Arabidopsis thaliana: one gene and its partners. The protein of the gene in region 1 interacts with the protein of each later gene in a pairwise test. Each region holds a gene or a part of one and is shown on either strand. Other genes may lie near its edges. The genes, in order: AT2G18090, AT3G24820, SDG20 and PRE1.

Region 1 (9,640 bases):
GCAGAGATTTTACAAATTTTGTAATTTTTTACAAAAATGTGATCTAAAAGGTAGTTTTTCTATACAATCAATAATTTTTCTAAAAATTATTACGAGTAGAAAACCATTATTAGATTTAAAAACAAAAAAAAACTTTTTTATACGTAGTAAAATTATTAGAATTTAATTTTACAAAGAACTAATATAAATTAAAATAAAACAATACGAAAGTCATATTTTACTAAGCTTTACATAATATATATTCATAAATATAAATATATATATTCATAAATTTATACAGTTATTAATTTAAAATATTGATGGGACCATATATTTACATAGAATTTTCAAAAATTTTATTATCTTATTAATTTATCGATTTGTATCAATTTTTACACTAGTCCCAACTCGGAACCAGAAAAATTTATTAATTTATAGAAGTTATTAATTTATCGAATATTAATTTATAGAGGTTATACTGTATTTCTCTTTTATTTGGGTTGTATTTCTTCTTTTTTTACTGAGTTTGAGATTTAATTTTAATAAAAATTATCAGTTTGATAAAAAAAAACTAAAAATATAATTTTCTTTATAAACTAATAAAATTAAGTTTCTCATTCTAGCTAAAAGGCTTAGCTTAATATTATTATGAATATTATTCATCTTTCCTCTTTCAAAAAACATATTTTTCATCTTGATTATCATCGGTTGCAACCAAAACGAAAGGCTAAGTTTCATATTCATTTTACTCCCAAACCAAAACAAATAGAGGTAAATAAATTTTTCGTATTTCGTACTGGAGCTTTAATGTTAATTTTACCATTTGTTTTCACCCAAAAAAAACCACCTGAATTTCTTGAACAAATTCACAAGGAAATTAAATTTGTTTTCTGGGTTTTAATTTGTAACAAAATATCACCTGGTTTTATTAAACTAGTTCCATTAGTTAAAATTAAAAATTGCCGGTATTGTTTTGTTAAATATTTTATTTTGATAAAATCCTCTGATCTCTATCATTCGAAGTCAAAGCTGTTTTGTTCACGTAAAACTGCATGTGTGATCCTATATATTGTATATTGATAAATACGTTTAACAATGACAATCTAGTGAGATAGCTCATGTCACATCGACCTATGATCAATGGATTACTTCAGTTTGATAATATGTTTGTATGTGATCACGAATTATATATTATATACCAATCGATTTTTCATTGTTTTATGTACTATAATTTGATTTCAGCTCACTACATATAATATTTAAACGTGACATGTTCATCTTTTTTCGTCGTCGATCGACATATCAACTATAAGATTAGTCGGTTGTACGTATAAATCTTGACCTTTTACCATGGATTTGTCCTATAAAAGCTTACTAGAGACTAGAGACCAGAACGCATTAATATTATTAGGTCTATCTTCTATCACTTCATAGTGTTTCTTTAACACTCATGTTTTGCAAGTGTCGTTTTGTACTATTGGAAAAGATTATTGTTATAAAAAAAAAAATGAAACAAAACTCTAAAAAATCAGTTAATCTTAGTTATAAAACATTATCCTGCTAGAAATCATTGCAACTTTAATAAAGTATTGAGTCTTGAATCGTTATGTCCACTTCGTTTATTTTATATAAAAGTTTGTCAACTAATTAATAGCTGATTTTTTTTTTCTTTTAAGAGAAAGAAGATCTCGAAATGAGAATTAAAGATAAGATATATGGTTAGGTAGCGAGTAGAAGACCAAAGCAAGAAACTACGACCACGACATCTTGCACATAAGAAAAAAAAAAAGTAGTTCAATTTCATTTTCGCTTTGGTCCACTTTATTATTTAACAAAAAATAATATCTAATAAATTACATTAATATAACAGTCCGTGTTAGACTAAGACACGAAGCCTCCCCCACTAAATCGACGCAAATAAAAATAAACAAATGGTGGGGTTAAGAGTTTAATTCGAGCTGTGGAATTTTTTTATAAATATACAAAAATAATAATATTTAAAATAATATATATTACGATAACAAATTTTTATGTCAATCAATTATATTTTAAGAATCTTCTAAAATCAAATATTATTGAACTAATAATTTGAATAATAATTTTAATTCCACTATTATTGAAAATATTCATATCATTAGTTTTTAAGGGTGTATAGTGAAAAAATTCCTCAATTTCAAATATGTTAATACAAATTTCCCTTTTTAAAAATTATCATGAAATTGGACAAACTATATTTATATTGAAAAAGATATATAAACTTATACAACACAAATTGTAAACAAAAATAACATGATGTTCTTCAATAAAATTATAAATCATCAAACCTAAACTCTAAAATTGTCAAAGTAAAAAACCTAAATTGACGAATTCTAATTTATTATAGCGAAATTCTCTGATGTTTGTATGATGTCGAAGTTGATTATGAGAGATTTTGTAAAATTTTGTGTTTTAATTTTAACCATAGTTTATCTAATTTTTACGACAATGTAGAAAGACAGGATTAAGATATTTGAAAAATTGAAGTTTTTTTTTATAAAATATATAATTGAATAATTTCTTATAGAATTTTAGAAAAAAATTTTAGATAAAATTAAAAAACACAAATGTAATTCTTTTATGTAGAATTTGGGGAACCAGACTACAACAAATCATAAATTTCTCTAAATTTACCTAAAATCATATTAAAAATTAATAAATCATTATGAATCTTAAATTACTTAAAATATAAATTTGAAAATACTCCTCTAACTCAGAGATCAATTTTTTCTAATGCCTCGTGATTTTTTTGCATCTTGTAGCTTAGTCACCTATATATATTTTTAGTGGTAACAAGATTCTCTGTTAAAAAAATAATAAAAATTAAAAATAATAATAGTTTATTTTATGGGAAAAGACGCGAGTGGCTCCCACCAGCCTCAACTTTGCCCACGTGGAACCAGCCATATGCGCGGCGTTTAGACAACAAAAAAAAAGCGTGTTGTTTCTTTCTCTCTCTAGAAAGTCAAAAAAAGGAGACAGACAACCAAACACTGCCTTGTCACATCTCTCTCTCTCTTGCTTTTGGCGAGTAACGAGTAAGTCCATTTTCCATGTGCCCACTGTGTCTTCTCTCCTTACACGCCACCATCTCCTCCACCTCCTCCTCCCTCCCTTCTCCAATTCCCAATTCTCCTCCAAACCCTAGGGTTAGGGTTTCCACGATTGCTTCACCTTCCCTTCTTTTTTTAAAACCTCAGATCTTCCGCTTCCTCGTTCTTGTCTTTTTGTTGAGCTGAGAAGCAAAAAAAAAGTGTTCTTTGGCTTCACGAGGAGCCAACAACGAATCGATGCCGGAAATCGATCTTATGAGAGTCGATCATTGTGTTTCCGATGTTAAATTAGATGATTCTTCTTCTTCTCCTCCGGGATTCTTCGATGGTGGTGGTGTTCCGTTAGATTCGGATGTGAAGTTAGACGAAGAAGATTCCGATTCTTTGAAGAAGAGAGGTAGACGTGGTCGTCCGCCGAGAATTTTAGCTAAAGCTTCTTCGCCTCCGATTTCGAGGAAGAGAAGAGAAGATGAAGATGTTTGCTTTGTTTGCTTCGATGGTGGTAGTCTTGTTCTCTGCGATCGTAGGTTAGTGAAGTTTTGAGCTTAGACAAGTTACTCTCCCAGCTCCATTACATTCCTACTTGTAAAAATAGAAACTTTTACTTGTGACTGATGATGATTCTTTCTTAATTTGTCAGGGGATGTCCAAAGGCTTATCACCCAGCTTGTGTTAAGCGTACTGAAGCATTCTTCAGATCGAGATCTAAATGGAATTGTGGTAAGTTGTTCAATTTTTATCTGTTTTCTCTTCTTTGAGATGGTTCATAGTGATGAGGATGGTTTTTTGGTTTCAGGTTGGCACATATGTACTACTTGTCAAAAGGATTCGTTCTACATGTGTTATACTTGTCCGTATTCAGTTTGTAAGAGGTGTGTTAGAAGCTCAGAGTATGTAGTTGTAAGGGAGAACAAAGGATTCTGTGGAATTTGTATGAAGACTATAATGCTTATTGAGAATGCAGCTGAAGCTAACAAAGAAAAGGTATGAGAATCCTGTCTACATTTTGTTACTTTCTCTTACTCGCAGTACTACAAGGTTATTTGTGGAACTTGAGGTCTGTTCTTGTAATGTCGCTTTGTTTTTTTAATGTGGATTCTTTCTTCTAGCTAAATGTATTACATGTACATTTTCTAGGTTCAGGTTGATTTTGATGATCAAGGCAGCTGGGAGTATCTTTTTAAGATTTACTGGGTTTCTCTTAAAGAAAAGCTAGGTTTATCGTTAGATGATCTTACCAAAGCAAAAAATCCATGGAAATCTTCTTCTTCTACTGCCGCTAAGCGAAGAACTACTAGTCGGGTTCATGAAAAGGATGATGGAAATTCTCCTGGGGTTATGAAAATACGTCGTGCTAAAGTAAGGAAAATGGATGCTGTTTCTGTGAGTAATTTGGGTCCTTCTTTGGATTCAAACTGTTCTTTGGGTGACAGACTTCCACAATTGACTAGTGCTGCTACTTGGGCAACCAATGAGCTTTTGGACTTTGTGGGGTATATGAAAAACGGTGATATTTCTGTCTTATCAAAGTATGATGTCCAAACTCTCGTGCTAGAGTATGTGAGACGGAATAATCTACAAAACTCTCCTCAGAATTCTGAAATAATGTGTGACTCCAAGCTTATGAGATTGTTTGGAAAGGAGCGAGTGGACAACTTGGAAATGTTAAAGCTTCTTGATTCTCACTTCATCGATCAAGTTAGGTCTCCAGTCACAGATAATTCAGCCGGAGGAGTCACTGAAACTATGTCTTACCAGGTTAATGCGGGCAGAAGCTGTGATAGGTTAAATACATCTGAACAGCATCAAGAAGGGGAATCACAGCAATTGAACGGGCACAGTATTCAAGTTAGACCTTCCAGTTCTGATAGCAGAAACCATGCAGTTGTAAAACCTGACACAAGTGCCACTCTGTCCAATAAGCCAATTGATGGTTTGGATACAAATATGGTATGGTTATATGGAGATCCAGATGGGAAGATTCATGGACCATTTTCGTTATATAACCTGCGACAATGGAATTCAAGCGGGCATTTCCCACCAGAGCTGAGAATATGGAGGTTGGGTGAACAGCAACACAGCTCCATACTTTTGACTGACGCATTAAATGGGCAGTTCCATAAAACAGGGTTATTACAGAATCATTCTATCCCCAAGCAGGAAGTGACAGCTACTATAGCTAACGATCAAAACAGGTCTGTGGCTGTTCCTAAAATAGAGAGTAGAATACTTGACTTCAGCCCCAACTCAGTGTGCACTGACCAGAGTGTTATTTCTAGCAGTAACAGTGTCATCACAAGGAGCTCGGATGTGAGTAACAAAAGCGGAAACAATTGTAGCCACGCCGTGCCATTGGATTTTTCTCTTTCTAATGAAAGGGATACTGTGGGTTTTATCTCTCTCTGGGACAAAAGAAAAGTTGAAAGTTCTTTGCTTGTACAAAGCCCAATAAGCTGTTCACTCTCGCTGGCTACATTACCTAGAAACTCAAACTGCTCTCTGCCACCACATGAAAGATGGAGTGCTGGTCAGACAGATGGAAACAGTGCAGCAACGACTGCTTGCAATCAAAACGGTAGTCTTAGCGGCTCAGCTGAGAAACAAGTCACGGCTACAGTCCAGTCATGTGGACAGAACTGGAATGCTGCAACTCCAAGCAGTGCTTCAAATGTGTGGGATTCGAACTCGGGTTTGACGTCTTTCCCAGACAATCAAGAAATAGACTTTTTAGATCTCTTTAGTCCAACTTTCAAATTCAACTTTGCATCTACTACCACTGATTGGCAACCCATTGTGGCTGGACCTGACGAATGCGACGAATCAGTCTCAGATCTTTTGGCAGAAGTGGAAGCCATGGAGTCCCAAAAACGTCTTCCTTCTCCAACTTCGACATTCCGTGGTCCTGAAGAATTATTAATCCGGCACTCAATAAACGATAGCTTCAGTCCCGCAGAAGGACATAGCCCAGCACTAGATGTAAGCAAAGGTGACTCCATGAGCTCCACAAACGATCTTCAAATGCATTCACGATCTAACAGCACCGTGCATTTTTAGTCGTGGGCTCGGGTTCACATAGAGAGAAATCATAACCTGGGGCACAGGTTACCATAGATCATCCAATGTCCTAGATTCGTCTGATCGATGGTGGACTATGCCCTCTTTCTTCTCTTTTTTTTTGCAGGATTATTACAGAACATAAATAAATGGCAGAATCATCAGCAAAAATGAAAAAAAACGAGTGGTGCATATGTAGAAGATGTTTCTTCGCGGTATTTTTGACTGCACCCATTGTTTTCTTCAGTATTTAGGTTTTGTAACGTTGTCCTGTGTTAAGATTTGCACAGACATACCCAACTTCTGTATCTTTTTTTTTTACATTGTTTGTACTTAGGAACAAGTATAAAAATGGGAAGAAATTGTTGTCCATGGATGTAATCAAAACATTTGTAGGGATCATATCATCTTATTATTCTATATATATGATAATGATAGTGTAACGTTTCATTCTTTTTGTTTTGAATGTTTCAAATCTATTTATATCATGACAAGTGTAGGCTCCAGTTTATTCTACTTGTTTTTGGAAAATGAGACGAACTCTATTGATCGTTTCTGGATTTGGAAACTTTTTGTTGTTTCTTCGATTTCGTTTTTGTTGATCTGAGTTGATGGTGGAAGCTACGTCAAATTTGACGCCGTCGCAGAGATACGCGGCAAGCGCTTTGTTTGCAATCGCGCTTAACCAAGCGCAGATCAGCCAGTCAAAGCCATTGGGAATCCCGGCCACCGGAAGTACCGGAGAGCCAATCAGCAGCGACAGTGATCCTATCTCCGATGAGGCGGATCTCTGGGTCCACGAAGTTTCCGGCCTCCTCCGTCCTGTTCTCAGGTGATCTTGAAATCATCTGGAATAGTCATGTTCATATGCGTCTCTGTGTGTGTAATGTATACATTTTGAGCTGTCTCTGTAATTTGCTTTCAGATGTCTTCAGATTGATTCATCAGCTTGGCATGGCCTTGAAGAGATAGCTGCTTCTACTCAGGCTAAGGATCACATCGGTGCGGTATGATTAATTTCTCTCCGTATTTTGAAATTTCGTTGTGAATGTTGAGGAGCTCTTCTTTATTGGATGTTACTTTTGGTTTATTGTAGTTTATCAAGTTACTCTCAGAGGATGTGAGTGATGATGATGATGATTCTAGTGAAATGGTGGAGAAAGAGACCGCCTTAGCTAAAGCTGCTGATGCTATGGATCAAAACATTCGAAGCAGCTCTCTATCTGTGGAATCTAAGATGGAGAAACATGTGGAATTCGAAAACGAATGCCGCGACAAGTATTCTGTTCCCGAGGCACAGTCTGGTGCTGAGGTTAAGGAAACGGAGAGCCACGGGGAGGGTGAAATTAGAGATGGAGGCCACAATCTTGGGATTGTTGAACATGAGAAACCTGTTGGGGAAGTAGCATTGCTTAGCCATGAGAGAAAGATAAATGTTCTTTACGAGCTACTATCTGCTTGCTTGGCAGATAAACATGAGGAGAATGAGATATGTACACGGCGTAGGAAAGGCTATGATGCGCGTCACCATGTTGCTCTGCGGTTACTTGCTACTTGGTTTGACTTTCAGTGGATTAAAATGGTCTGTTTGCTTCATTCATTCAAATTATTTTGTAAATTTTATGCTACCACATAGCATAGCAACCCTATAGTTACATGTTAGCTATCTTGTTGAGGATTTAGGATCTGATGACATTGGGATATTTAGGATTCTCTGTTTTGTGCATTTGGATTGACCTGAGAATCAATTTCTGTATTTTCTAGGAAGCAGTTGAGACAATGTCTGCATGCTCTGCCATGGCATTGCAAAAGTCAAGTGGAAATAAGGAAGAAGAGTCTTTGTCACCAAATAGTGAATGGGCTAAGTGGAAACGTGGAGGCATAGTTGGAGCGGCTGCTTTAACAGGGGGTACATTGATGGCCATCACTGGTGGTATGATGTCTTCTAACTGTTAATATCTCTTCCAACGTTTAGAAAATTAAGAGTATGTGTTTGGAAAATGCTAATTCTTAATCTGTTTTGATTACATATTATGTGAAACAGGATTGGCTGCTCCAGCAATAGCTGCAGGGTTCGGTGCATTGGCTCCAACTCTAGGCACAATAGTTCCGGTAATTGGAGCCAGTGGGTTTGCTGCAGCTGCTGAGGCTGCCGGAACTGTTGCTGGTTCTGTTGCTGTTGCAGCATCTTTTGGAGGTAAATAAAAAGTAGAATCAGTTTTAGATTCCTTTAAGAAATAAAATGAATCAAAGTGATGATAATTGTATAGTTCTTAGTCTTCTGTTTTGTTTCTACATGTGTTCATGAATAGCTGCTGGAGCTGGGCTCACTGGGACGAAGATGGCTAGGAGAACTGGTGACATTGAAGAGTTTGAATTCAAAGCTATTGGAGAAAATCATAATCAAGGAGTTAGTTTTAAATTCCTGCTGTTTCATGTTGAAATCTCTTTGCTCTGCATTGATCTCTTTGTTCTTTCTTTATTTTTCTTGTTGGTGTAATAGCGATTAGCGGTGGAGATCTTAGTTGCTGGCTTTGTTTTAAAGGAAGAAGACTTTGTAAAACCCTGGGAAGGGTTAACTAGCAACCTAGAAAGGTATTAAAATGAATTGTTCTTGTGTATATTTTTTGTGACTATATCATAAAATCCATATGTTTGCTATAATACCTTCTTAGGTACACGGTGCAATGGGAATCCGAGAATATTATTGCAGTGAGCACTGCAATTCAGGATTGGCTTACTTCAAGTAATAATATATAGTTTTATCCAATACGTGTAACCATGTAAATCTATCTTTTTGCTATTGCTCTAAGAATAGATAGTAACATTGACATGAACTTGTTGCAGGAGTTGCTATGGAGTTGATGAGACAAGGTGCAATGCGCACCGTACTAAACTCGCTTTTAGCAGCAATGGTTTGGCCGGCAACAATCCTTGTAGCTGCTGATTTTATAGATAGTAGATGGAGTATTGCTATTGACAGGTAAAATGAAAATATTTGATGAAACTGAAATGCCAAATGTGATGAAACCAGTACTGCAAGTAAGTTTATGTGCTATTATTTTCGTATTATCTTATTTCAGGTCAGACAAAGCAGGGAAGCTTCTTGCTGAAGCGCTTCGAAAAGGGTTGCAAGGAAATAGGTATAATTATTGGATAAATTCCATCATATATCTTTATGATAGAAAGTTGTGCAATTAGTATTTTACATCAGCATGTTGATTCTCTTACATTGGAAAACTTGTGAGAAATTCAGACCTGTGACTCTGGTTGGTTTTTCGCTTGGTGCACGTGTTGTCTTTAAGTGCCTCCAGACTCTGGCAGAGACTGAAAAGAATGGTATTTCTCCACTCAATATTTATCTTTGCTTTAGAATTGACAATTGATTCTTGTCTTTAACACATTTTTCACGGTAGCTGAAATTGTGGAAAGAGTTGTTCTTCTTGGAGCACCAATTTCAATCAAGAATGAGAATTGGCGAGACGTAAGAAAGGTAATAAACCTTCTTGATGAGAGTT
Region 2 (8,248 bases), on another chromosome or scaffold:
TACCTCAACATGGTATGATAATCATCGTGCCGTGGTGGAAGCAAATCTAAAGAAACCAAAGCTTTTCTAAATACATTCACTGCTTTCTCCTCTTCTTCATCTCTCACATCCTCAATCACAATTGGTGCATATTGATCAGCGACACGCTTCCCTCTTTTCCTTAAACTATGTGTCAATTTATTCGAAGCTTTAATAGCTTTCTTCTTTAAAGATCTAGAACGAGTTCTTGTAATCTTCTCATCCTCTGAAACCTCAATGTAATCTTTACTCTTTCCTTTATCAGTTTCTGGAACCAAAAGTATCTCACCTAATGCTACAACAATAAAAGCAAACATAATCAAATACTTCAAAAATCACATAAAAGCAATCAGATTTTTCAAAACCAATATCTGAAAATTTACCTGGCATTTGTTTTTATCAAAGAAACAGATGATAATAATGTAAAACCTATGTATCTGCAAAAATGTAGATTTAACTCAGATTTATATGAAATCGAATCATCAAATCAAATCGTAATTTTAAATCAAACCCAAGATCAAGAGACAAGAATCATCAAATAAAAACTGATCCTTTATTGCTCCAAATTCAAAGATCCAGAAAAACAAAAACCAGAAATGATTTTCTCAAAATTCGACATTTTTCGTCTTCGAATTCTTTTCTTACCTAACAAGCGATCTCACGAAATCGCGGAGTATCAAAATCAGAAATCTTTCTTTAAATTTTCCAGATTTAGGTAAAGAAGGAAAAAAAAGCTCTCTCTTTCAACAAAAACGTCGTTTTCAGATTACAAAGTCAAATCTTTTATATACATATACGTATAAAGTTTTCCTCGGAACGTAGCTTGGAGAAAGAAGAAGACGAAGCGTCGTATTCAAACCCAAAATTAAATGCAGAGAAGAAGGAAGAAGAAGAAGAGAGAGAAAGCTTTCACGATGGTTATATTCGCCATTTTTATAGCTTGCTTTAACATGGAGTAGAAATGAAAACCGAAACTAAACCGGTAAGTAAACCAGGTTTAACCGGAGATTTTATTAGTCAACATTTGTTTTATTAATCAATGCTTTGAGATTTGGAGAGTAATTAACGTTACGGCTAGTCAAAGATAAAGGTGTTGTTAGTTAACTTCTTATTAACGGCGAGATTTAACGACCGCTTGGTTGTTGTAGCGGTGGTTACGGTACGCGTAAGCGCTAAGCTAACCATAACTGTCAATTTTAACAGTATTAGTTTGGTTATGTGTAACTTTTATTTTTGGAATTAAAAATCTGATGTGGGTCCACCGACAGAATAGTTTTTTCCATGTTGTCTCCACTAGTTGTATGACACGTGGTAAGTGCCGACGCAGATTTTATACGGAAATAAGGAAGTGCCACGTAGCTAACTTTAGGTCCAAAAGGAGAGGGACAGGTAGACCACGTGAGTTGATCAATTCATGGCCTTGCTTACATATGAAATAATAAAACCTTTTTTTTTTGTTCATGGCAAAATGTTTTTATTTGAATATAAAATTACTTTTACGCACCTCTTATTTGATATAATATCTCCAGTAAAATCTTAAGAATTACACAAACTAGCCTGAAGAAGAAGAGAATTTTGTTAGTTCCTTAGTCAACTGTCATGCCATATAGTGAATTTGGATTGAAGAATATTTGTAGAAGATTAACATAATTGGGACGCTTAGAAGTTATAGAACTCATCCCTAAGGATTGAAGTATCAACTGATAAATAAAACTGAAATGAGGTGATAAACTTCAACAGTGATACAAGGAAGAAAACAAAATCTGAATAGATAAAAACCAAAACAAGAGTTAAACCAAAAGATAGATGCTGATTTTCTTCAGTACTTGATCGATGCAAGAACATCGAGCTGGGATCCAAGTTTCTCCTCTGCAACCTTCTCGGCCTTTGCCCTGAGCTTGGTGAGTTGCTTCTTACGCTCATACAAAGCTTGTGACCTCTCCTTTCTCTTCACCTCAAGCTCCTGTAAAATCATTAAACCAACAGTAAATTCCCAGTTTCTTCCACAGATTAAGTGAGATAATTTTCTCCTGACTAAACTAAGTACAATGATATGATCTTCAGTTATAAATTAAAACAATCAGCAAAAGACCCAGAACAATGACAAAGATGTGTCAGTAGATGCTATTCAAATCAACTCATAGGAAACTTACAAATACAATTTTAGTAAATGAAGCACCTTTTGTTCCAATAATAAGGCAGACGAAAAGGACAAAAGGGACATACCTTGATGGTATCGTAATGGTTCCAGCCAACTTCAGAAGACAAACGTCCCAACAAGCAGTACTTGTGACCAGCCTGAAGCCTCAACACCCTAAACAAAACAAAACAAACGAAAACCAGTTGACAGCTAAAACACATTGAACATAACCAAAATTACAAGATAGAACAAAGTTGCAGAAACATTACTTGAGAGCATCAGGAATGACCATTCTCTTGACCTTGTCATAAGGAGGTGGTACTCCCTCAAACACCTTCAAACGTGCAAGAGCAGCAGCACCACGCTTGGTCTTGTGTGGAATCATCCTGTAAATGACAAATGATCACATTTCAAATCCTCCATCACACTATCAAACATACAATTCCTAACACAGACATCATTGCACAAAGATCAAAAGCTGACCATTTCTTCATACTTAATAGTAACTAACCAACCTAAACACAAATCCATCCATTGATGCAAACCCTAACAAGCTACACAAAATATAACAACTTTCCAAAAACCCAATACTCAAATTCTAATCTTCATTTTCAAGAATCACATACTAAGCTAAGAACTTTAAGACTGTGAGATTAGAATACGAACCCACGAACGGTACGCCAGAAGATCTTAGACGGAGCACGGAAATGAATAGGACCATGAGAAGGTTTAGTGTTCATGCGTTTCCTAAGAAACCTCATGTACTTCATCTTCTGACGAACCAAACCACCAGACAAACAAATCTCCTCACATCGGACAACAACAACACTCTGTCCATTGAGCAACTCTTTAGCTATGATCGAAGCAAGACGACCACACATATGGTGACGTGCGTCAACAACGACACGCTTTGAACATATCCCTGACCCAGACACCATCTTCTCGATTCGAATTCGCCTCTCCTTAGCTTCCGCTCTTCGAAAAGATCTCAGCTTCACTTCAATGGCGACTTTATATATGATGCGACATTAGGGTTAAGAGTTCTCTAAACCCTAATTTATTGGGCCTTTTGTTATTATAATAAGGCCCAGTAGCCCAGTAACAGGCCATGCCCAGGCCCATTTTTTCTACTTTCTAAGGCATTGGAGATTTTCAGATTCTTCTTCTTCTTCACAGGATCAGCAATGAATATAGCTTCGAGGATTCGACGAAGTTTTTTAAGAGAGAAGAAGGAATCTTCAGATGGGAATAGCTTGAAGAATGGATCGAGTGTTAAGGAAGAAGGTAAAGATGAGATTTTGGGAGTTACTGATGAGTTAATCGATCATGTCAGATCCTTCACCATTGATACGTTTAAGAACTTCTCTCTGGAAGGTAATTACGAAAATTGGATCCCAATTTAGTTAGGATTTTTTTAGTTTTGTGATTTATGAAGTTGATTTTAGTAGTTTGGGTTGTAATTTCTAAAACAGATGAAGAAGAAGAAGTATCTGTGAATCCTTTGGGAGATGAAGATAATGGAATGAGTTCATCTGCAAATGTGAAGAAGGATTTGTCTGATTGGCAGGAGAAACACGCGGTTCTCGTGTTATCGAAATCGAAGGTTTTTGGTCTTGAATTTTGAATCTTTTTGTGATTGACTTTTGTTTTGAAATGAATGGAATTGGTAGCTGTAGAGATTACAAATGATCAAAGTTTAGCTTTTGGAGCCAATGGTGCTATTTTAAAGTTAGATTCATATCTGAGTGTGTGGGCTGATGATTCTTATATAGCCTATTACATAGCTGTTGTCTTCTTGATTTCCTAAATTTTGCTTCTTTTGATGATTGAACTTGTGTTGAAATGAATGGAATTTGTAGCTGTTGTCTGTAGAGATTTCAAATGATCAATGATTGGATTTTGGAGCTAACGGTGCTATTTAAATTAGATTCAAATAAGAGTTGATGATTCTTATAGCGCCTATAGAAAGTTGCTGTCTTCTTGATTTGCTTGTAGCTTTGGGTTTGGTCAATTAGGAGCAATGGATCGAATCTTATAGGGAAATTTGAAAGTTACTCTTTAGGACTAAGCAAGATTTCTAAATGGATGGAACTGGTAGTGGTAGAGCTCTTGGTCCACTGGTATCACTTGAATCAGAATCGGATCAGAGTTTATGTGCCGAATCTTATAGTTCATTTGATGCTACTATCTTCCTGAATTGCTTGTAATCTGGTTAGGCTCATGTTAGTGAAAATGGTAAACATGCTCGTGTTTGCAGTTCAAGATGATTTTGTTACACAGTTGGTAAAATTGAATTTGGTTGATAGGACCATTGGGTTTAAACGAATCTATTTTCAAAGCTGCTCTAAACAAGATTGATTTCGTGTTACAGGAACTCTCACAGTTGAGATTCAAGTTATGCCCGCGAGTTTTAAAGGAACATCAGTTTTGGAGGATATATTTCCAGCTTGTGAGGAAGATTGTGGCAAAGTAAGTACTTTCTTATGCCAAAAAATTTCGTTTGAGATGGTTCCATAACTCCAGGTGTAATGCCCTTAGTAGGTGTTAAATGCACCTTACTCTGTTGTTCTGTGTATGATTCCACTTTCATATAGAGATAGTGAGATGGGTTTTTAGCTTGTAACAAAGTGATGAATAAAGATCACGAGAAATATGAGTTTAACCATTGGTAGTTCATGGAAATTATTTGCAGATATGAGGTGCTAGCAATCCAACAGGCTCAAATCAGGAGGATGGCCATGGAAGACAGTAAAACTTCTGAAAGCAAGGGTGTATATGAAGTTGAAATGTCAGAAACAAAGCAAAGGTTGAGTACAGGACCTGCAACTCCGTGAAGCTTCGGTGGTAGAGTTGGGATGGAACATGACAGGTACTGTAATATTACAGACTACGTATTTACTTAATACAACTATTATCAACGAGAATGAAATCACTCTAAGCATCCTATGACTTGCTTTTGCAGTTTTGCTCACAAATTAACCAAACAAAAACGCTGAACCATCGGAGAAGCAGGGCTTGATCAGTAAATATTGTTCATGTGTTAAAAGGTGACAAAACCAAGAAGGTTTTGATTCTTCAGAGATGTAAATGATCATGTGAATTTAGTACTAGTATCAGACATAACACAGTGGTCTTAAACGCTTTGTACTAATAAGAATAGACATCATTATTTAATGTTTTGATTCATCCGATGAGCAAATGATCTAAAGAGGTGAAATATTTTACAGAAACCAAGAAACCTAATCTTTAGCATGAAAGGTGCTACTAACTTAGACTTTTGAAGAAATAATTCCAGAAAGCAAGACAGTGAGTGCAGTGCCAATAAAGAAGAGAGAGATGAAATCTAATCGAAGCATTTTACTGCAACCTGTATGACAGAGGAATTGGTACAAGTACCCACATGTGTGAAAAGCCCAATGAGATTAGAGTATCAAACTATCAATAAAGAAGATAGAGATAAAACCTGTGACTAAGGTTTTTGTTCAGACAAGTTCACTACTTTTGCTACTTGAATCCAAAGTATATGACTTGTAAAGTAACTCTAATGCAGAACCACAAAACTCAGACCTTCACTGAAGTAACCAAAGAACAATGAAGAGATTTACAATACTAATTTAAGTAACTTGACAGTTAAATTAGACATTTATTTGTAGCAAATGAGAGAGATTAACATTACATTATTCTTGACTAACAAGTTATACACCAACCCTAAAACCCCACAAAGTTAGTCTGTGTGCAATTTTCATCTCCTCTGTTCCAACACAGATGTTTCCTAAAGCACACAACTTTACATCGAACACAACTCATTTCATGGCATCACTTTGACCCATTCGTAACGTCCAGGCAATGGATTGTCCGAGACAATGTCAAAGTTGTACCTGCAAAACCATAACTCCCCCAAAGTCAGACCAAACTCTAAAAACTCAAGAGAATCAAGACACTAAAGAAAATGGGATTTGTACTTTTGAATGAAGAATCTCTGTTGTTGCTGTTCTGCGCTAGCAAAGAAGTCTTCAATCTCACTTTGTATTGATTTTGAATCACTTATCATGCTCCTATGAGAGAACCAACATATCAAAACTCAATCTCTGTATTGTAGTAAAAAAAAAAAGTTTGGAGCTTTAAAATGAAAAAAAAAACAGAGTTAAAGTTACCTGTTTTCTGATTCCAAATCAAAACCTTTATCTCCAAAATTACAATCAGACCTAGATATTCTCTCATTATCACCACAAGCTTCTTCCGTCGTCGTATCCGGCTCTAATTTCTTCGCCGGACCGGAACTAGCCCTAGGGTTTTTCGTTTGACATTGATTGACACTAGGAATGAGCTGTTGCTTCTGCTGTTTTCTGGTATTAGTGAGTAATGGAAGCTTCACGAGACGGCGGCTCCGGAGCTGGAGGTAGTTAAAGGAGTCTGCTTCGTCGGAATGAGAACGGAGACGGTGGAGGGCGAGGTTTTTAGCGGCGGCGGCTCTGGTACGGAAACCTAGAGCGGGTGGGTGAGATTTATCCTTAACGGAAACGGCACCGGCGACTTTTGACTTCTTAATGTATTTTCCCATCTCCGGGAAGGTGGTTTACTGAATCTCCGGTCGAGAGCGAAAGGAGGGAAGCAACGAAGGAGGAGGAAAAAAGTGATTTTTAATCTGAAAAAGTGAAAACTAAAAGGACAATGGAAATATTTATTTTAAAATCGAATCAAAAAACAAATTAGACAAATTTTTAAGGTGTCAAAGGCCCTCTCACCTGATTGTCATCATTTTCTTCGAAAAAAGATAAATCAAAATTTAATTAATTGGAATTTAATTTAATTTTTGTATTCTATCTGATTAAAACTTAAAAGTCTACTTTACAAAAGTAAATTATGAACAATATATGAGATATTTAAAGTATTAATTTGAGTTTGCTTGAGAAAAATATAGTTTAATACGCAAATTTTTAAAAAATATTCATTTAATACGTAAACTTTGAATATAATCATTTAATATATAGAAAAAAGTTATTTTACACTAAGTTAATGTTATCTAATTTTTTTACGTTGGTATAAATTTTGGCTGATAAACAATTAAGTTTGTGTAAAATAACCGGTCAATAATTTTTACATATATTAAATGTTTATATATAAAATTTACGTATTAAATAACAACTTTTTGATAATTCATGTAGTAAACGACATATTTCCGACTCTATATTTCACTTATATTATATAATTAATTCTTAGTTACTCCAAAATAACATAAAATAATAGTTCTCAAATGAAGAACATTTTTGGAAATATATATTCCAATTATTCTATACACTATATATATAGTATTTAAAGTTTATGAGTGGTTGGTGCAACAAATAATAAAAGGCTGCCGAAAGTAACAAGGTCTTTGAGAATAAAGATCATCAAGCTTATATTAATTGCTTTGGTAGACCATCCATGATTATAAAGCAATTGATATCGTGTGGAAATTTTTAGTTATTTTTGTTAAATAATGCAAAGATCGTTGTATGTGTCAAATTTGTTTTGGTTTAAGATAATAAGGCAGTTCATTTTTTGCATCCATTTTCATTGTTTCATAAAATTTGGTAGACAAGTCAACGTTAACTTTGTACAAACAATCCAAAACAAAAGCTAGCATTCAGATTTTCAAATGTCATGCAGGTTATTGGTTCAAAAGAAAAAAAGAGTCAACCATCTATTAAATTCTTCACATTTGACAAAAACGTACACATTAATTGTATACAGATACATTTGACTGTAAATTTTTTTTTTTTAAGTAAACAAGTGTCTTAAAATTAACATCATAGGGTTGATCACTTACCTAAGTATTTATTTTCTTTGGATTTATTAGCATTGGACATTTATATTGGTTGCTTCTAGTTTTATAGTTATGTAATCATCTCAACAACCGTTCTCTTTGTGATGTAATAGTTGAGATTATCTTTCATAAATTAGGCTTCAAAAGTTGACTTGTTGGTAAATTTGTCGAACAAATAAAGTTGGTCTGACTACATGCTTATACTCACGTCTAAATAGAAAAATTAATTTTCCTTTACATAAAATTTAGTTTATACTTTATAGTATCTGAAATGTAAATATATG
Region 3 (8,322 bases), on another chromosome or scaffold:
ATAAGCGTAGCGATAGGTGTAGCAAAAGGGATCCAGTTCTTGCATACCGGTATTGTGCCTGGTGTTTATGATAACAACCTTAAAATGACAGACATTTTGCTTGACAATAACCTTGCGGCGAAACTCAGTAGCTATAATCTTCCATTGCTTGTGGAAGGTCTTGGAAAGGTAAATGACGATGTCAAAAGTTCGAATGTTTTTGTTTCTTGAATTTTGAATCTCTTTTGCTTTCCTTTCTAAGGTGGGGCAAGTAGGATCTCGGAGCGGACCTAAAGGCACTCCAAGGTGTGTAATAATCTTCTTTACTCTGTTTCTCATCAGCTTGTAAACCCGGTTATATGGTTTAATCCTCTGTTTCTCAAAAGAATCAAAAACGGTTTATATGGTTTAATCCTCTGTTTCTCATCAGCTTGTAAACCGGTTTATATGGTTTAATCCTCTGTTTCTTAACAGCATCAAAGACGAAGATAAAATCGATATCTATGATTTTGGAGTGATATTGCTTGAACTTATAGTGGGAAGACCATTGAGAGCAAAGAGTCAAGTCGATGTTCTAAAAGAGCAGGTAACACCATTCGATATATATGTAGCTTGATGTGGAATCGCTATCATCTACTTTAAAAACTCTTTTTTATTTGTTGTAGTTACAAGCAAGCATTTCAGCGGATGATGGAGCACGTAGGAGCATGGTGGATCCAACGGTCCATAGAGCTTGTTCAGACCAATCACTGAAGACAATGATGGAGATATGTGTAAGGTGTCTCCTTAAAGACCCTTTAGAACGTCCTTCCATTGAAGATGTCCTGTGGAATCTTCAGTTTGCTTCTCAAGTTCAAGAAGGTTGGCTACAAAACAGCAATCCCTCGAGCAATCTCGGCTCGCCTTCTCCTGCTGCTTCCTCTCTTCCTCCTCCCTCTCGTTTACACGTAACAACACTCGAATCTCCCCGAGATTCAGGTATTTTTGAACTCGATCTTTTATGATCAATTGATTCAGTTCAGAATAGAATTTGATTGTTAAAGATTTGAGATTGAATAAGTTTATTGATCTGAGACTTATTTGTGTGGTTGTAATTGCAGGATGTGAAGAACATGAGAGGTAGAGAGACGAGGGTTTTTGTTTGGTCTTGTTCACTGATCACTACTCTTTGGAAAGAACATAACCTTTTTGTTTGTAATTTGATGTTTGTTTTTGTTTTTTTGTCTTTAGTTGTGTTGAGCTTAAACGATCATAACAGTTAATAATATAGTTAATTTTTCTTATAAACTTTACTTAAAAGAACAGTGTCGGTTAATTTTTATTCTTCAAAAGGAATACAAGTCCAACAATGGTGAGATAATTTTGGAAAATTCAATCGTTTTTTCTTCCTGTTTTGTTCAGCGAAAATAAATTAAAATTGTATATAGAAATTGAGATGGAACCGATTTCTAGGGTTTAGAAAAGATTTGCTTGATTGATTCTTCTTGTCCAAGAAATCAAAATAGAGGATAATGGCTGGTGTTGGATCATCAAATCCTTTACTTATTTATTAATTTGGATTCGTATGTAAATTCAGTTAATTCCAACTAGTATGATAATTAACCAATAACTACATGCATATATCTCATTCAAATATTTCACGACAACTCTACATGTATAGTATACGTCTGCTGGATATACTTATTCTCTTTCTCAACATTATTATAAAAACGGAGATATATTTAAATTAAAGACAAACCCTAGGTAATACATTCATCTCCGGTGAAAATCCTCCGCCGGAAATATAACCTTCGAAGCCACCGCCGTCGATCCAACAGCCACCGAAAAATCAGCACCGCTCTCTTCCTCATCCTCATGCTGATAATCTCCTCTCCTTTGCTGATGCGGTGGCATTGGCTGCAACGAATGTTCTAAGTTAGTCGGAGCCATGACGTCATAGCTGACGGCTGCTGCATCTGCCGTCATGGTGAAGCTGTTCATGGCGGCTCCGGCGAGAGTGGTGGAGGCGGAGGAGTTGTTGGAGTATTCGGGTTGTTGCATAACGACTAATTGTTGTTGCTGTTGTTGGTGATGAGTTTGTTGTTGCATAACGTTGGCCATTGCGACTCTACTGTTTATCAGTTGTGATTGCACCACCGATAACTCCGCCTGTAGCGAGGCCACCTAATTAATTTATGGTTAGAAAAGTATTTTTTATTTAATTATGAGCATCAATTATTTATTAGTCTTAATATAGCATAGGAAATGAATTTGCATTTAACAAAAAATCTTACGAAATATTCGGTTCGATTTTAACCGTTACAAGCTTTACTAAATAACAAAATTTGGACACCTGATCATTAGTATATCTTATTAGAAAAAGTTAATCAAGTATTAATTTTACCTGTTGTTGGAGAGCAAGGATGGTTGAGACGCAGCCATAGACAGGATCAGAGAGCCTAGCTTGAGCCTCGTATGAGATCGTAACCACCGCATCATGACGACGGTTCACCGGAATATGATGCAACAGTTTCGACACGTTGCTGGCTCCGAAAACCTTATGAACCGCCGCGAACCTAGCCGCTCCTTGGTCTGACCCAAAATGTGGAGCGAAAATGCATCCACTCACACACTTCCTTCTCAAGAACTTGCAAGCCCCACAAGGCGAAGCCGTCCCTGTCCCCGTCGTTGCAGCTGCCATGGATACTCCGCCGGAACTAAGTGATGACGTCGGAGTTTGCTGTGAGGTTCTTTTTCCGGCTAGAGATTTCCGGCGAGAATCTGAGGTGTTGTGGCCTCGCTGCTGATCAGCCATATCACCAAACAAACATTAAATAATTAGCTTTAGTTGATGAGAGTTTCTTGCGAGATAAACGATATCTCTACTTATATGTGTATGTTAATTTATATGAAGTGTATATGTACATGTGTGAATGTGGATATATAAGTAAAAGAAGAAACGGAGTAGGCCACGTTTGTTTCATGAAGGAGGTCGCGAGGTAAATGTGGTAATCTTTTTTTTTGTTATTTAGTTTGTTTATAAATTTATTTCATTTCCAAAATTAGTTTGGTCAATGACTTTTTTTTTGGTGTTTTGCATTTTATAGCTTTAAATGTTATTCAAAGATTTTTCACCATTTTCCCCCAATTATGTTATTTACTAATTAAATTATTTTCTTCCTTTAAGTTAAGATTTTAATATATGACATTAATAGTATTTCACACGTGTTTTCGCATTTGACTATTTTAGTCGTTGTAAGCTTTTTTTTTGTCGTCTATAAATTTTACTTATGTTCATGGGTAACATTAACTGAAATTTAAAGACTGACAAAAAAAATATCATAACATCTAAATTAGTCAATTGCGACACTGGTGAGTGGTGACTAATTAAATGTTTGAAATAGAGTAATGGAAGTATAACACAATGTATCTATCTATTGACGAGTAAATCACATAAATATTTACTATAATTGGCGTGTCAATATTATTTTATTGATATATAACCTTTTCACATTTGAGAAGGTGGCAAATAATAAATTATATATCTTGTAACCCAAATATAACAAATTTGCTCACCATAACTTATTAATGGATTAATATGTAATATTAGTTAGGTTATATATTTACGTATTGTTAGGTACAAGAACGAGCGTATCAATGGGAAGAAGGTGTGAGGCACACGTGCAAAGAGAGTGTTTAATAAAGTAATAAGTTTATAATTAGTATTTCGCTATATATATATATATATATATATATATATATATATTTATTATCTTAGGTCTTATTAAATGTAAATATATTAGTTATGGTTAGAACTAGTATAACAAACTTATGGAAATGCGTACATTGCGTCTGAAACCATTAATTAGCGATATATACATTTGAGATTTATAATCATAAAAATCTAGAGTCCTTTTGCTTATACAAGACGAACACTTATAAACGTTTCCAAAGGGGGGAACTTTCGAAAGTTGTTGAAATGAGAGATATACAATTGCGAAGTATAGAGAAATAAACTTCAGGACATTGACAATAATATGAAATGAAGTACACGATTTAGTTGATAAGAAAAGAAAAGAAAAAAAGTATACACGATTAATTTCCTTTTAGAAAAACCAATCATACATCGATTTGATGTTTAAGTCTAGAATATGTGATGCAATTTAAATTATCTGTTTTTGTTTTCCCTGAGTACCCAAGAATATTGGGCGGAGCAGATTGATGCCAATATCAATATGTAATCAGTACATGCATGCATGTGGTATATATAGAGAGAAAATTGTATGTTTTTGCTTACATAACTTAAATCAACCAGACAACCAGTGATGCATGCATGTGGTATATAACGAAATTCACATGAATGTTCTTTATCTTAAGGAAAAAAGGAAGATAAATCAGACGAAAGTTAATTGTCTCAAAAGGTAAAACAAATGTACGATACAATGATTAATAACAAATTGTATAGTATAGCTAGCTACCACAATCTAAGTATCGTATTCGTACGTAATTTCGTATGGATAGAGAAGTAAGTATATATGTGAGAGTGTCTGAGAGAGGAGAGGCACGAGAATCGTGTTGACCGTTTCGTGTGGAGTTCTTTAGTAAGCTAACCAACCTTCATGTCTGTCGTGCTCCTTTTCTTCACAACATTAATCCTCCCTTTTCTTTTTCCGTACTTTGCCATTTTCAAAATTAGTTTTATTTCACGAAATTCTTAGTATTTCATGACTTCATTTTGGTGGGTTCATTTTCGTGAATTACTTCTAAATTTCCCCCATTCCTTCTCCAAATCAGTAGAGCCGCTATTAATAAGAAAGTGTAACTTCCGAATGACAATGACGGTGCTTGGTTGTGTTTGCTACAAACATAGAACTCGAATTTTTCAAATAATAAGAGTGTTGGACATTAGTATAGCGAGACAAGATGATGATGAATTCAGGTATTCTCACAAGGCAACGTTCCCAAACAGCAGGAACTACCACAAGAGCAGTTTAGCTTGTCGTCTCTGTTCTCTCCGGCCACACTTACGTCTCCATAACTGAAACTTAACTCCTCCTCTGCGATTATGTCCTTTGCTGCAAAGAAACAGAGCCGAGGAAGCAACGCTCCTGAGCTTCTCAACAGAACAGTGGAGAGATTTCCACCGTCACAAGAATGGTTGATGAATCTAGCAACGTTCCCAATTCTTGTGGCGTCGATGTTTATCCTTAAACAAGCTTGTCCTGAAGGGAGGTGTTCGCGTACGACCAAAAGAGCTGAAGCGAAGGATTGTGTTGATCTGAGTTTGTCGTAAATGTTTTGACGTCTACGTGCTTCATCTGTTGTCAATAGCTCACCTATAAGAAGAGACGACAAAATCAAGTTTATGACTTTTGCATAAACCAAGTCATTAAGGCAGATCACAAAGAAAAAACACATTCAAGAAAGAAGAAAGATTTGTCATTATCTCTAATCTCCAAATCCAGCATTGTGATACTACCTCTAAACGATTGAAACAAGAACATTTCGAAAGCTCAGATCTTTCACTGATGGAGATCACTCTTAATACCATGCTAGAATCTCATCTCAACGCATCGAGCTAAATCATATGCAGTCCAAGTGTAAAAGGCTAATAACTAATGCTAATATTCCTCAAATCATGTAATCTTAAGCTTGATTTTCAAGTTCCAATTATCAATCTTCCAAAATTAGTGACCTACTGCAATAAAACGAATCACTATACTATTAGGAAACCAAAAGTTGGTTAACGTTACCTAATGCTAATATTCCTCTAATCATGTAATATGAAATCGAAATGTAATTGTAACCTGCATATTCACAGATGAATTGGCCTTGCTTGATAAGCTGGTCAGCGTACAAGCACCAACCTTTCTTCTCATCTCTCACAATCTTCAAACTAACCGAAACCCCCTTCTGCGTAACCCGGTTCGAACAATCGGACCCGCATCCACAACCCGACCCACATTCGTTAGCTATCTCTTCCATCCCCGCGAAAGCTAAACACTTGCAGTATCCTTCCTCACACCTCTCGCATTCGCATCCTGACTCGTCCACTAAACTCACCCCAAAACGTCCGCTTTCACTCACTGAGTCAAAACAAGGTCTAGACTCCGATCCACATTCATTAGCAGCAGCTCCCCACCATTGTCGCGGCGGAGGAGGAGATGAAGCGGGGATCTGAAAAGGTGTGTAGATGAAGTACGCGTATCGTTGAGAATCGATGGAGTTGTGAAACGGGATTGAGATGTTTTCCAAGGATCGTGCAGCGTCGAGAGATCGGTGAATGGTTAGAGATTTCGAGATTAGGGATAAGGTTTTGCAGGTTTGAGCAACAACGGCGAGTTCTCGAGGGTTTAGCCATGGGAGAATCAAATTCGCACATCGGAGAAATCGATCGGCGGCCGGAATAATGTCGGAAGCTTCTCCAAGACAACGCGTCTTCGGTGGTGGTGACTCTCGCAGTCGCTGCATATTTTTTCTCAGCCAGCGATATACAAACGACGTCGTTGCGTTTAATTCTATTTATATCCTTAAATTCTATTTTAATTTCACTTCAGTAAGAATTTTTTAAAGAAAAATGGCGAGTTTTTTTGTGTTAATCATAACTATAGATTTACTACCGTCGCTTTGGTCTGTGTAATGAAATCTGTCATTTTCACAGAGGAAAAAAACTTACAAAGACAAAATCCATTGCAAAAGAGCGAGCAACAACGACGAAATTTCGAAATGCCATCGCCACCGACGACGACTTCTCTCTCGGTGACACAGACCATAAACGGATCACACAGCTTCACAATCAAAGGCTATTCTTTGGCTAAAGGAATCGGGATCGGAAAACACATCGCCAGCGATACTTTCACCGTCGGGGGTTATCAATGGGCTATCTATTTCTATCCTGATGGCAAGAATCCTGAGGATAATTCGGCTTATGTCTCCGTTTTCATTGCTTTAGCTAGCGATGGTACCGATGTTAGGGCTCTTTTTGAGCTTTCTTTGCTTGATCAGAGTGGTAAAGGGAAGCATAAGGTTCATAGCCACTTCGATCGTGCTCTTGAGAGCGGTCCTTATACTCTCAAGTATCGTGGCAGCATGTGGTTCGTTTCTTCGATTTCTTCTTTTCAATTTTTTTATTTTTCTCTTAGCCATTTTGCTAGGGTTTGGTGAAGAATTGGCTTAGGGTCTCTGATTTCTAGTGAAAGCTCATTACTTTTAGAACAAATTTTGCTCCTTTGTTGGGGTTTATATGAGGTTACGGATGTTATTAGTGGTCAAGACTCAAGAGTGTAGATTGTTGAAGGCAAAATGAGATTGAGCTCACAACATTAAAAAATATAAAAGAGATTGAGAAATTCAGAGGAAATAAAGATACATTAGCTGTGGATTTCTCAATCTGTTTGTTTCTTTTTTGTTGTGTGACCTGTATATGAAATTGAAAGATGGGTGGTGAGAGCGATAAACAATGTTCTTTATTTTTTATGCTGGAGGCTGCTTGGCTTTATTTTTGTGGTCTGCTTGAAACTGTGAGTCTGTGACGTATGGAAAGAGAGAGGGCTTTGAGTAGAAGAAGCAAGTTTCTAGAATATGAAGGTTCTATTACCTGTTTTGGACATTCTGTAACTAGTTTACCTGAACTTTTCATAAACAGAATTTGGTTCCTGCTGCTTCACCAGCATGTAGCGTTGGTTCTGTAGTTAAGGAAACTTGATTGGGAACGAGAGAGGGTTTGGACTGATGATATTTAGGATTTTCTTGAAAAGTATTGTGTTTTCACATGTTGGCATGATTTCAAAGACCTGTCATTGTGATGTTTTACTATATAGGCACCAATTCTTTCAATATGGTAGGCTAATTCTGAAGTAGGAACATTGCTTACTGTTTACCTGCATATAGCAGCACAAACCTTGCTTTTATGAAACTGTTCATGTTAGGTTTGAAACTTCTTGTATGAGTTAAGCAACAGAGTATTGTCTTTTGCTCTCAATATTCGTACATTTGGTTTTCCTGCTTTTTTAAACATCTGTTGTTAAGTCTGCTTGTATGAATTAATCAACCATTGTCTCTGGTTTCTTCTTCTTGAAGGTGATGCCTTTGGCTTTGATTTGTCTCTCTATTAGAAAGATCTCATTGCTTATTAATGCAGAGGAATAATTCCCTCTTAGAGTTTTGTACTTCCCTGTTTCGCTCAACGGATCCTTATTCAATTTTATATGCTTACAGGGGCTACAAGCGCTTTTTTCGAAGACTTATGCTGGAAACATCTGATTTTCTGAAGGATGATTGTCTGAAAATTAATTGCACCGTGGGAGTTGTGGTCTCAGAAATAGATTGCCCACGGTTACATTCTATTCATGTCCCTGCATCTGA
Region 4 (7,059 bases), on another chromosome or scaffold:
GTGTTTTTTACAACATGTTTGTAAAGATGTGAATTAATTGCGAAAAAGTAGACACAAAAACATTGTGGAGCCTATGAGACCAAACATTTAGTACCCGAACCCACATGGACTAACATGTAAAATCTCCCTTTGCAATTTATTAGAATGGTCACTTTCTTTAATAATCTTGTATATATAAAACACACACACACACACCAACACACTTTTATATATATTCTTGTATTCACACATATAAGAAAAATTGATAAATGTTTTCTTTAATTATGTGCTTTATTAAAAAATTGTATGAATTAATGTTCTCGTTGAATTTTTGTGGTGGATAGATCATTGACATATATATGGTGTACTTACTATACTGTTGTCATTCTCTTGAATTATAAGTGTGAATTTCATGTCGGATGATATCGGTTAGAGTAATGAAATGTTTGGCTATATAACAAGCACAACGATGGAGAAAATAATTTTCTTATATATTTAGTATATATTGAGCAAAAAGTACTTTTAATAAGTAACGTAACGTAACATTGATTTCGTTAACTATGAATATAATCCGATCCATGTCATGCAAACCTGTCGGAAGAGAACCATTCTCACTTATATTTTCTTGTTGGTGAGAATATATTAAACTGTTATTGAATTACTAATGAAATAGAATGTTGTGATAAATTAATACACCACACAAACGAAATATTTTGAGGGATAATGAGGGATTTCGAAATTTATATAACCTTTCATAATAATAATAATATGTTCAAACAGATAATTGTATTCGACTGTTACATACTTGTCGGATCTTTATTGATAATGTTATTGGACAACAAGATATCTAAAATTTTGATCTTATGGACCCGAGGGCAGCATGTAACACGAGACATGGTGGTGACACGTGACATAGTCGATGTTTTGTGAACATTTATATAAATTAATACTCAACCAATAATGGACCAATCGAACAATTAAATTAAGTTATATGAGACATGCGATTTTATTCACTTCAAAATAAAAAAATTCTTTAAATAAATTATTTTAGGCAAAGTGTAAGTGTGCGAAGAAGTTTGAAATAAATGGTCTGAACGAAGTTTTAAAGCCGATAGATACGTTTCTTTTAAGCATTTGGTTTCCTTTTCACGTTTTATAAAAGAATTAATTATGGATTTACCATTTTTTGAATGATATTTATGGATTTTGTCATTTTTTAAATAATTTGTGGATTTTGCTCTTTTTCAGTCTAAAAAATGAAATTTAGCATAGCTTTTATTCGTTATATTAAGGTTTAGTCGAGTTTTTTTTTTGTTTTTTAAGTTTAGCATTTAATATAAAATACTTATTTTTGTAAAAATAATATCGTAAATACGTACATTTATAAGTACTAAAATGACAATTTCGTAAAATTTTAGTAAAAATGACTTTTTCAAAAGATTTTGATGAAAACGGCAAAATCAACAATAATCCTTTTATAGAAAATATTTGTTTTATATCTACTATTTTTAAGTTACATTGACATTCTATAATTTTTTAAAAGTTATCACACGAAATATTTTACATATGAGGTGAAACTATTTATGGCTTAGCAGTTAGAAAACAATGTTCCATAGGAGTCAATAATTAGGCTTCTTCCTTTCTAAAACAAATGTAGTTAGTATGGAAGATAGAATTTACATAATTCTCTCTATGCTTTTTTATACAAGTTTGGAACTATATATTTTATACAAGTTTAAAATATATAGTTTGGTAATATACAAGATTTACAGATAAATATACAAACTGTACCTAGATATTGTGGAATACAAATTTAGAGAGACAATTTAGGCGATAATACTAGTTCTAATATTAGAAGAAAAAAAATTGAATGAAAAGTCATGTCATCACATGGTAGTTGCCTTTTTGTGAAATTGCAGATGAAGGGCCACAATGTTAGATGAACATGAAACACTTATCTTGACCTTCATCAACCCCATCTTTGGGAACTTTTCGTTTCCTCCATTTAACTATTCAAATCTCCTCCAATTATTCAAAAAATTTAGTACCCATTTATTTATCCACTCTATAGGAATTATACTGTAAAATTTTCAATAACTAAGCATATGTATATTTGTGATCCATTCTAGTCATAATCATTTTCTTTTTTTTTGGATAGTTGAGGCATAAAAAGTTGGGGTTTTGGTAAAACAAATCCTAAGAGAAATCTATTTTTGTAATTTTACCCTCTACTTCTAAAATATGCAGAATAATCATAAAAAAACAAAAATAATACGCAATATATTCCTTATACATATATTGTAAACGTATTCACGATCACATACATTTTAAAAAATCTAAATTAAAGAAGAGTTGAACTCTTTGTCTCGAGGGCTTCGATTTGATATAATACTTCTCAATTTTTTTAAAACTTGACGAAATCTGACAATAGCAAAAAATGTTATATTGCGTAGTATTTTTCACTTTGTAAAATTATTCTATATTTTCTGAAAGTAGAAATGGACGATTTCAAGACTTATTTTCCACAAAATCCTAAAAAGTTACGAATCTTGAAACTTGTGTATCATTTGAACTATACACAATAACTAACTAACCATGATTGAAAACGTTGTGAAATAATTCAATCCCGCCATTACCTTCGTATAATGATTGGTAATAGTCTCGACTGATGATATGTATATATACGGCTTGGAAATCTGTAATAAAAAATGATTTCGAAGTTTTGTGGTTTAAGGGCATTCAATCTATCGCTTTCTTCTCCCGTGACATCATTGTCGAGGTTTATTGCTGCTCTCCGTCGCTCTCTCTCTCTTGTGGTCCATTGGCCTATTTAAATCTCTCTTATCACATTCTCAATTTCTTTATATTTGAAGTGTATTCAAAACCCCAAAACACTTTTCTCATTCTCTTCTCTATTTTCTTCTTGCTCTCTAGTTTTTCTTTCTTCTTGGTCGTTTCCTTTCAGCATAAAAACCTTATAAAATCATAAAAGCTTACACCTACTTGCCACATAGACATAGCCGATCTCATTATATCTCTATTTCTATTTCTCAATAGAACTTGTTTGAGCTAGTGTGAGAGAAGTAAAGAAAGAGAGAAGAATCCACAACTTAGTTAGGGTCTTTTCTTGCCACATTGTTGAACATGTCGAACAGAAGATCAAGGCAATCTTCAAGTGCTCCAAGGATCTCCGATAATCAAATGATTGACCTCGTATCTAAGCTCCGTCAAATTTTGCCGGAGATTGGTCAACGACGTCGTTCTGATAAGGTATCACGCATAATATATGCATATATTCATTTATAACGACCATTTAACATTATCCATCGTGTAAACCTATCCAAAAAAGGAAAGAACAAAAGTTTTGTAAAAAGAAGAGTGGACACTAAAATCAAACAAGAAAGAAAAAAGAAGTCGGAACTTTTGACTCCGGACATTAAGGAACATATATACCAATATTCACAACCTTTTTCTTCCATATTTACATAAGAGATTACATCAAAATCATCAGCTTGCATGCATCTGCAAACGCATAAAAGCGCATGCATTGGTTCAAAAAACATATATTATAATGATTATGATTTTATTTCGTTTTTGTTGTTGAAGGCATCAGCCTCGAAAGTATTGCAAGAGACATGCAATTACATACGAAATTTGAACAGAGAAGTTGACAATCTGAGCGAGCGTTTGTCTCAGCTTCTCGAATCTGTCGATGAAGATAGCCCTGAAGCCGCCGTTATTAGAAGCCTACTCATGTAATCTTTTTTGTTCTTTTGTTTGTTTTTGACAAGCCTATCCATGTAATCTTAAATGATCGCTCTATAATAATTATATTTTTAACATAATCGTCTTATTATGTAAAATTCAAAGAGATGGGCTTGATCTTTAATGACATACGAATTTCATAGGGTTAATTCCATAGTCAAAAGTCTCCGACATATATGTGTGTAGCAGAACTGCACGAGCATTGCCTTAGCAGGTGCATTATTAAAATAAACCAGTGGGATGAAATTTGGTGGAGAAGAATCTTTCTTTTTTTCTCCCTAACAAAGAAAAAAAAAACAGAGATTGTGATGTCTGAACTCGATTGTGTCAGTCAAGGACAGTAAAATTGCGAGAGGACATTGTTAGTTGCGAGCATTTAATTTTATACGGAATAAAAAAAGTTATTTGGCACATTGTTTTTGAGGTAACAAATCATCTAAACCTCAAAATAGAGATAAAAAGCAAAAATAGAAATAGAAGACAAAATCAAATAAACTCTTAGCCATTTTGGAGGGGAAAAGAAACCCCATCTTAACTGTCACAAAAACGTTTATACACATCTAAAGGAAAGTTTTGCCTTTTAGGACGTCCACACAAAGAAATTAAATAAAAATCAACGTTATAGTTTTATTTGATATCTCATAATTCTACATGCATGTAGTTTAAAGTTTAAACACACGTATACGCATATTGATATACATGCACCCATGTACATACATTTAGACAAGTTTGGTCCTTTCAAGGCGTAGGAGACTGGTCAAATCTATCACTCCTAATTTTAAGCCATATAGCTATACCGGTTTGGTCCTTTCAGGGTTTAGGAGACTGGTCAAATCCGACTCCTAATTTTAAGCCATATAGCTATAAAAATAATCACAAGAAGAATTACATGAAAAAGGAGAGCATTCAGAGACTAGCTTTGTTACACTCTTCCACCTAAAACGATCTTAATTTTTTTTTCTTGTTACATAGATACAATTTTCAGGTCTTGTACCCTTTTTGAATTATTATTGTAAAATTTTGAGATATACTAAATAGAATAATTAAATAGCGGAAACGATTTAAACAATAGAGCAATAACGAAACGACACAATATTTAACAAGGTATCGGTTGGTTCTCTTTCAAACCAACCACTAGTCCTCGGCTGCAACAAAAGTTTATTAGATCACTTCAAGAAGTAAAAGATATACTTAGAATTTCTACAGTAAATTCAAATACATCTGTATCTAAGAACATGAACTAAGGTTAACAAGTAAACTCATTTTACTTCCCTTTAATCATGTATGAATTCTTCTTGGAGAAGTCTTTCCAAGGTGATCTCTCCCCAAACTCCACAGCGACACAAGTTTCACACAAACTTATCAAACACTCTGTTTTCTATTTCTCTGTTTTAACAGCAATCTTTTGTATCTTGAAAATTGGAGATGATGCTTGCAACACGTTGTCCTTATCCACCACAAAAGCAGAGTATATATATGAATATGACTCTTACAGAGAGCATCAAGGAAACAATTTGGATAAAAAGATTGCTATAATAATTGGTTCTTTGCAATCAAAATATGAAGTGAACTGTGACAGTCCAAGAGCTATATATGTTTGTCTAAAAATATGAAACGGGAACATATAGAAGTTGAGCTACACTTCATAAGGGATATGACCAAGATTGGTACTCTCTGGTCAATCCTACTGACATATTGTGTAAGGACAAAGTTGTGTAATGACATCAGAAGCAGGTAAATGAATATTAGATGTAACCGTTTGTCGAGGTGGAGATTTGTTGATTATTTCAACCAAAGACTCAAGAAGCTTAGAGAGTGAAGCTTTGGTTATGGAGGTTTTAGCTAAGTTAGTGTAAACGTCATTAAGTTATGTTTTCTTTATAGTAAAACAGGCTAAAACAATATAAAATACAAATTACAGTACTCTGTTATGTTTTTTTTTTTTTAATCAATTTCCAAGATACTTCCTACACGGGGAAACAACTTTTAGAATCTTTCTCCCATAAATAAAGTTCCTTGCGAAACACGTCGTTGGACTACCGAGGTCCAATGGCCGAATAGGTTACTTCTGCCACAGTCCAAGATTCTTCGTTTCGCTTCTTTCGTGACGAGGAGGAACCAGTCTCAAGTTGACTTTTACGGACTAAATAACCAGGCGGTCCAGGCGGAGCGATCTCTATTGTGTCGCTTGCGAACATGACAGAGATTGATAGCATCGTGGGCCTATCCTCAGCACATTCTTGAACACACAAGAGACCAATCTGTATGTATCTTTTAACTTGGTGTTGTTGAAATGTTGATGAATCAAGGATAATTTGATCTATGATTTCGAGCCCTTTACCTTCCTTCCAATTCCTCCATATCTATTCATCATAAACAAAGCTTTAAGCGTTTATATCAATCACAATAAAAAATATAAAAAAAAGACGAAAATGCTTTGGATGATTATTACACTTACATATGTAATAAGACTTTCGTCGTTCTCCGAGTATCTATAAAAGTCTCTGTTTTTAACCCCAAATATAATCTCAAGAAGCAAGACTCCGAAGCTGAAAACATCTGACTTTGTTGAATAAATCCCTTCCTCCGCGTATTCCGGAGACATATAGCCGCTTTGTCAAGCAACAAGAAACACAATTGTGAGGTTTTGTAAAGTGTTTGCTTTATTTTCAAATGTAACGATGATAGTTTGTTTGCTTACTAAGTTCCGACGATCTTTGTTGTGTTAGCTGCTGTCGCACGCTTGTCGAAGAGTTTACTCATCCCAAAATCTGATATCTTCGGAACCATATCTTGGTCAAGTAAGACGTTGCTCGGTTTTAGGTCTCTATGGACAATAGGACGCCGCGAATCTTGGTGAAGATATAAAAGTCCCCGAGAGATTCCATTAATTATTTGGACCCTCTTCTCCCAGTTTAGCTTAGAGCTTTGGTTTTTGTCTAAGAAAATGTCACAACCAAAATCACATTAGTTTCTTTTCAATAACTCTTAATACAACTACTTAAACTGTGAGGCACTAACCGAATATATACTTATCGAGGCTGAGTTTTCCAAGTACTCATATATTAAAATCATCTCACCGATCATATGGACTCTCCGATCATTCGTGATAAACCATGGATAATTTTTGGAGATTTTAATGAAATTTTGGATATGGATGAGCACTCTCGAATGGAAGATCACCCAGCAGTTACCTCCGGTATGCGAGATTTTCAGTCTTTGGTGAACTACTGCTCATTCTCAGACTTGGCATCTCACGGGCCCTTTTTACTTGGTGCAATAAGAGAGATAATGACCCAATTTGGAAAAAACTGG

What was found.
Region 2: the proteins of AT2G18090 (region 1) and AT3G24820 interact in a two-hybrid assay, tested with the Arabidopsis thaliana proteins (one large-scale study listed by BioGRID).
Region 3: the proteins of AT2G18090 (region 1) and SDG20 interact in a two-hybrid assay, tested with the Arabidopsis thaliana proteins (one large-scale study listed by BioGRID).
Region 4: the proteins of AT2G18090 (region 1) and PRE1 interact in a two-hybrid assay, tested with the Arabidopsis thaliana proteins (one large-scale study listed by BioGRID).

What each region holds. Positions count from the first base shown.
Region 1 is NC_003071.7:7,861,196-7,870,835, forward strand, and holds AT2G18090 (PHD finger family protein / SWIB complex BAF60b domain-containing protein / GYF domain-containing protein), read left to right. Parts: upstream 1-2,998; 5' UTR 2,999-3,305; coding exon 3,306-3,595; intron 3,596-3,708; coding exon 3,709-3,788; intron 3,789-3,864; coding exon 3,865-4,052; intron 4,053-4,205; coding exon 4,206-6,122; 3' UTR 6,123-6,625; downstream 6,626-9,640. Other genes in the region: AT2G18100 (transmembrane/coiled-coil protein (DUF726)), read left to right, coding at 6,734-6,954, 7,048-7,129, 7,219-7,704, 7,887-8,055, 8,167-8,319, 8,435-8,532, 8,626-8,717, 8,798-8,868 and 4 more.
Region 2 is NC_003074.8:9,059,461-9,067,708, reverse strand, and holds AT3G24820 (BSD domain-containing protein), read left to right. Parts: upstream 1-3,232; 5' UTR 3,233-3,342; coding exon 3,343-3,532; intron 3,533-3,630; coding exon 3,631-3,761; intron 3,762-4,529; coding exon 4,530-4,627; intron 4,628-4,850; coding exon 4,851-4,992; 3' UTR 4,993-5,027; intron 5,028-5,120; 3' UTR 5,121-5,355; downstream 5,356-8,248. Other genes in the region: AT3G24840 (Sec14p-like phosphatidylinositol transfer family protein), read right to left, coding at 4-313, 402-408; AT3G24830 (Ribosomal protein L13 family protein), read right to left, coding at 1,838-1,981, 2,245-2,332, 2,428-2,544, 2,825-3,096; ICK3 (Cyclin-dependent kinase inhibitor family protein), read right to left, coding at 5,967-6,036, 6,121-6,213, 6,313-6,719.
Region 3 is NC_003074.8:938,083-946,404, reverse strand, and holds SDG20 (SET domain protein 20), read right to left. Parts: upstream 6,506-8,322; 5' UTR 6,430-6,505; coding exon 5,766-6,429; exon of another isoform or gene 5,295-5,765; coding exon 4,894-5,294; 3' UTR 4,311-4,893; downstream 1-4,310. Other genes in the region: AT3G03770 (Leucine-rich repeat protein kinase family protein), read left to right, coding at 1-168, 242-285, 454-565, 645-957, 1,080-1,102; LBD20 (LOB domain-containing protein 20), read right to left, coding at 1,732-2,142, 2,363-2,773; BPM4 (BTB-POZ and MATH domain 4), read left to right, coding at 6,598-7,052, 8,176-8,322. UniProt on the Arabidopsis thaliana protein: Histone methyltransferase.
Region 4 is NC_003076.8:15,954,566-15,961,624, forward strand, and holds PRE1 (basic helix-loop-helix (bHLH) DNA-binding family protein), read left to right. Parts: upstream 1-2,802; 5' UTR 2,803-3,123; coding exon 3,124-3,249; intron 3,250-3,585; coding exon 3,586-3,738; 3' UTR 3,739-3,994; downstream 3,995-7,059. UniProt on the Arabidopsis thaliana protein: Atypical and probable non DNA-binding bHLH transcription factor that integrates multiple signaling pathways to regulate cell elongation and plant development.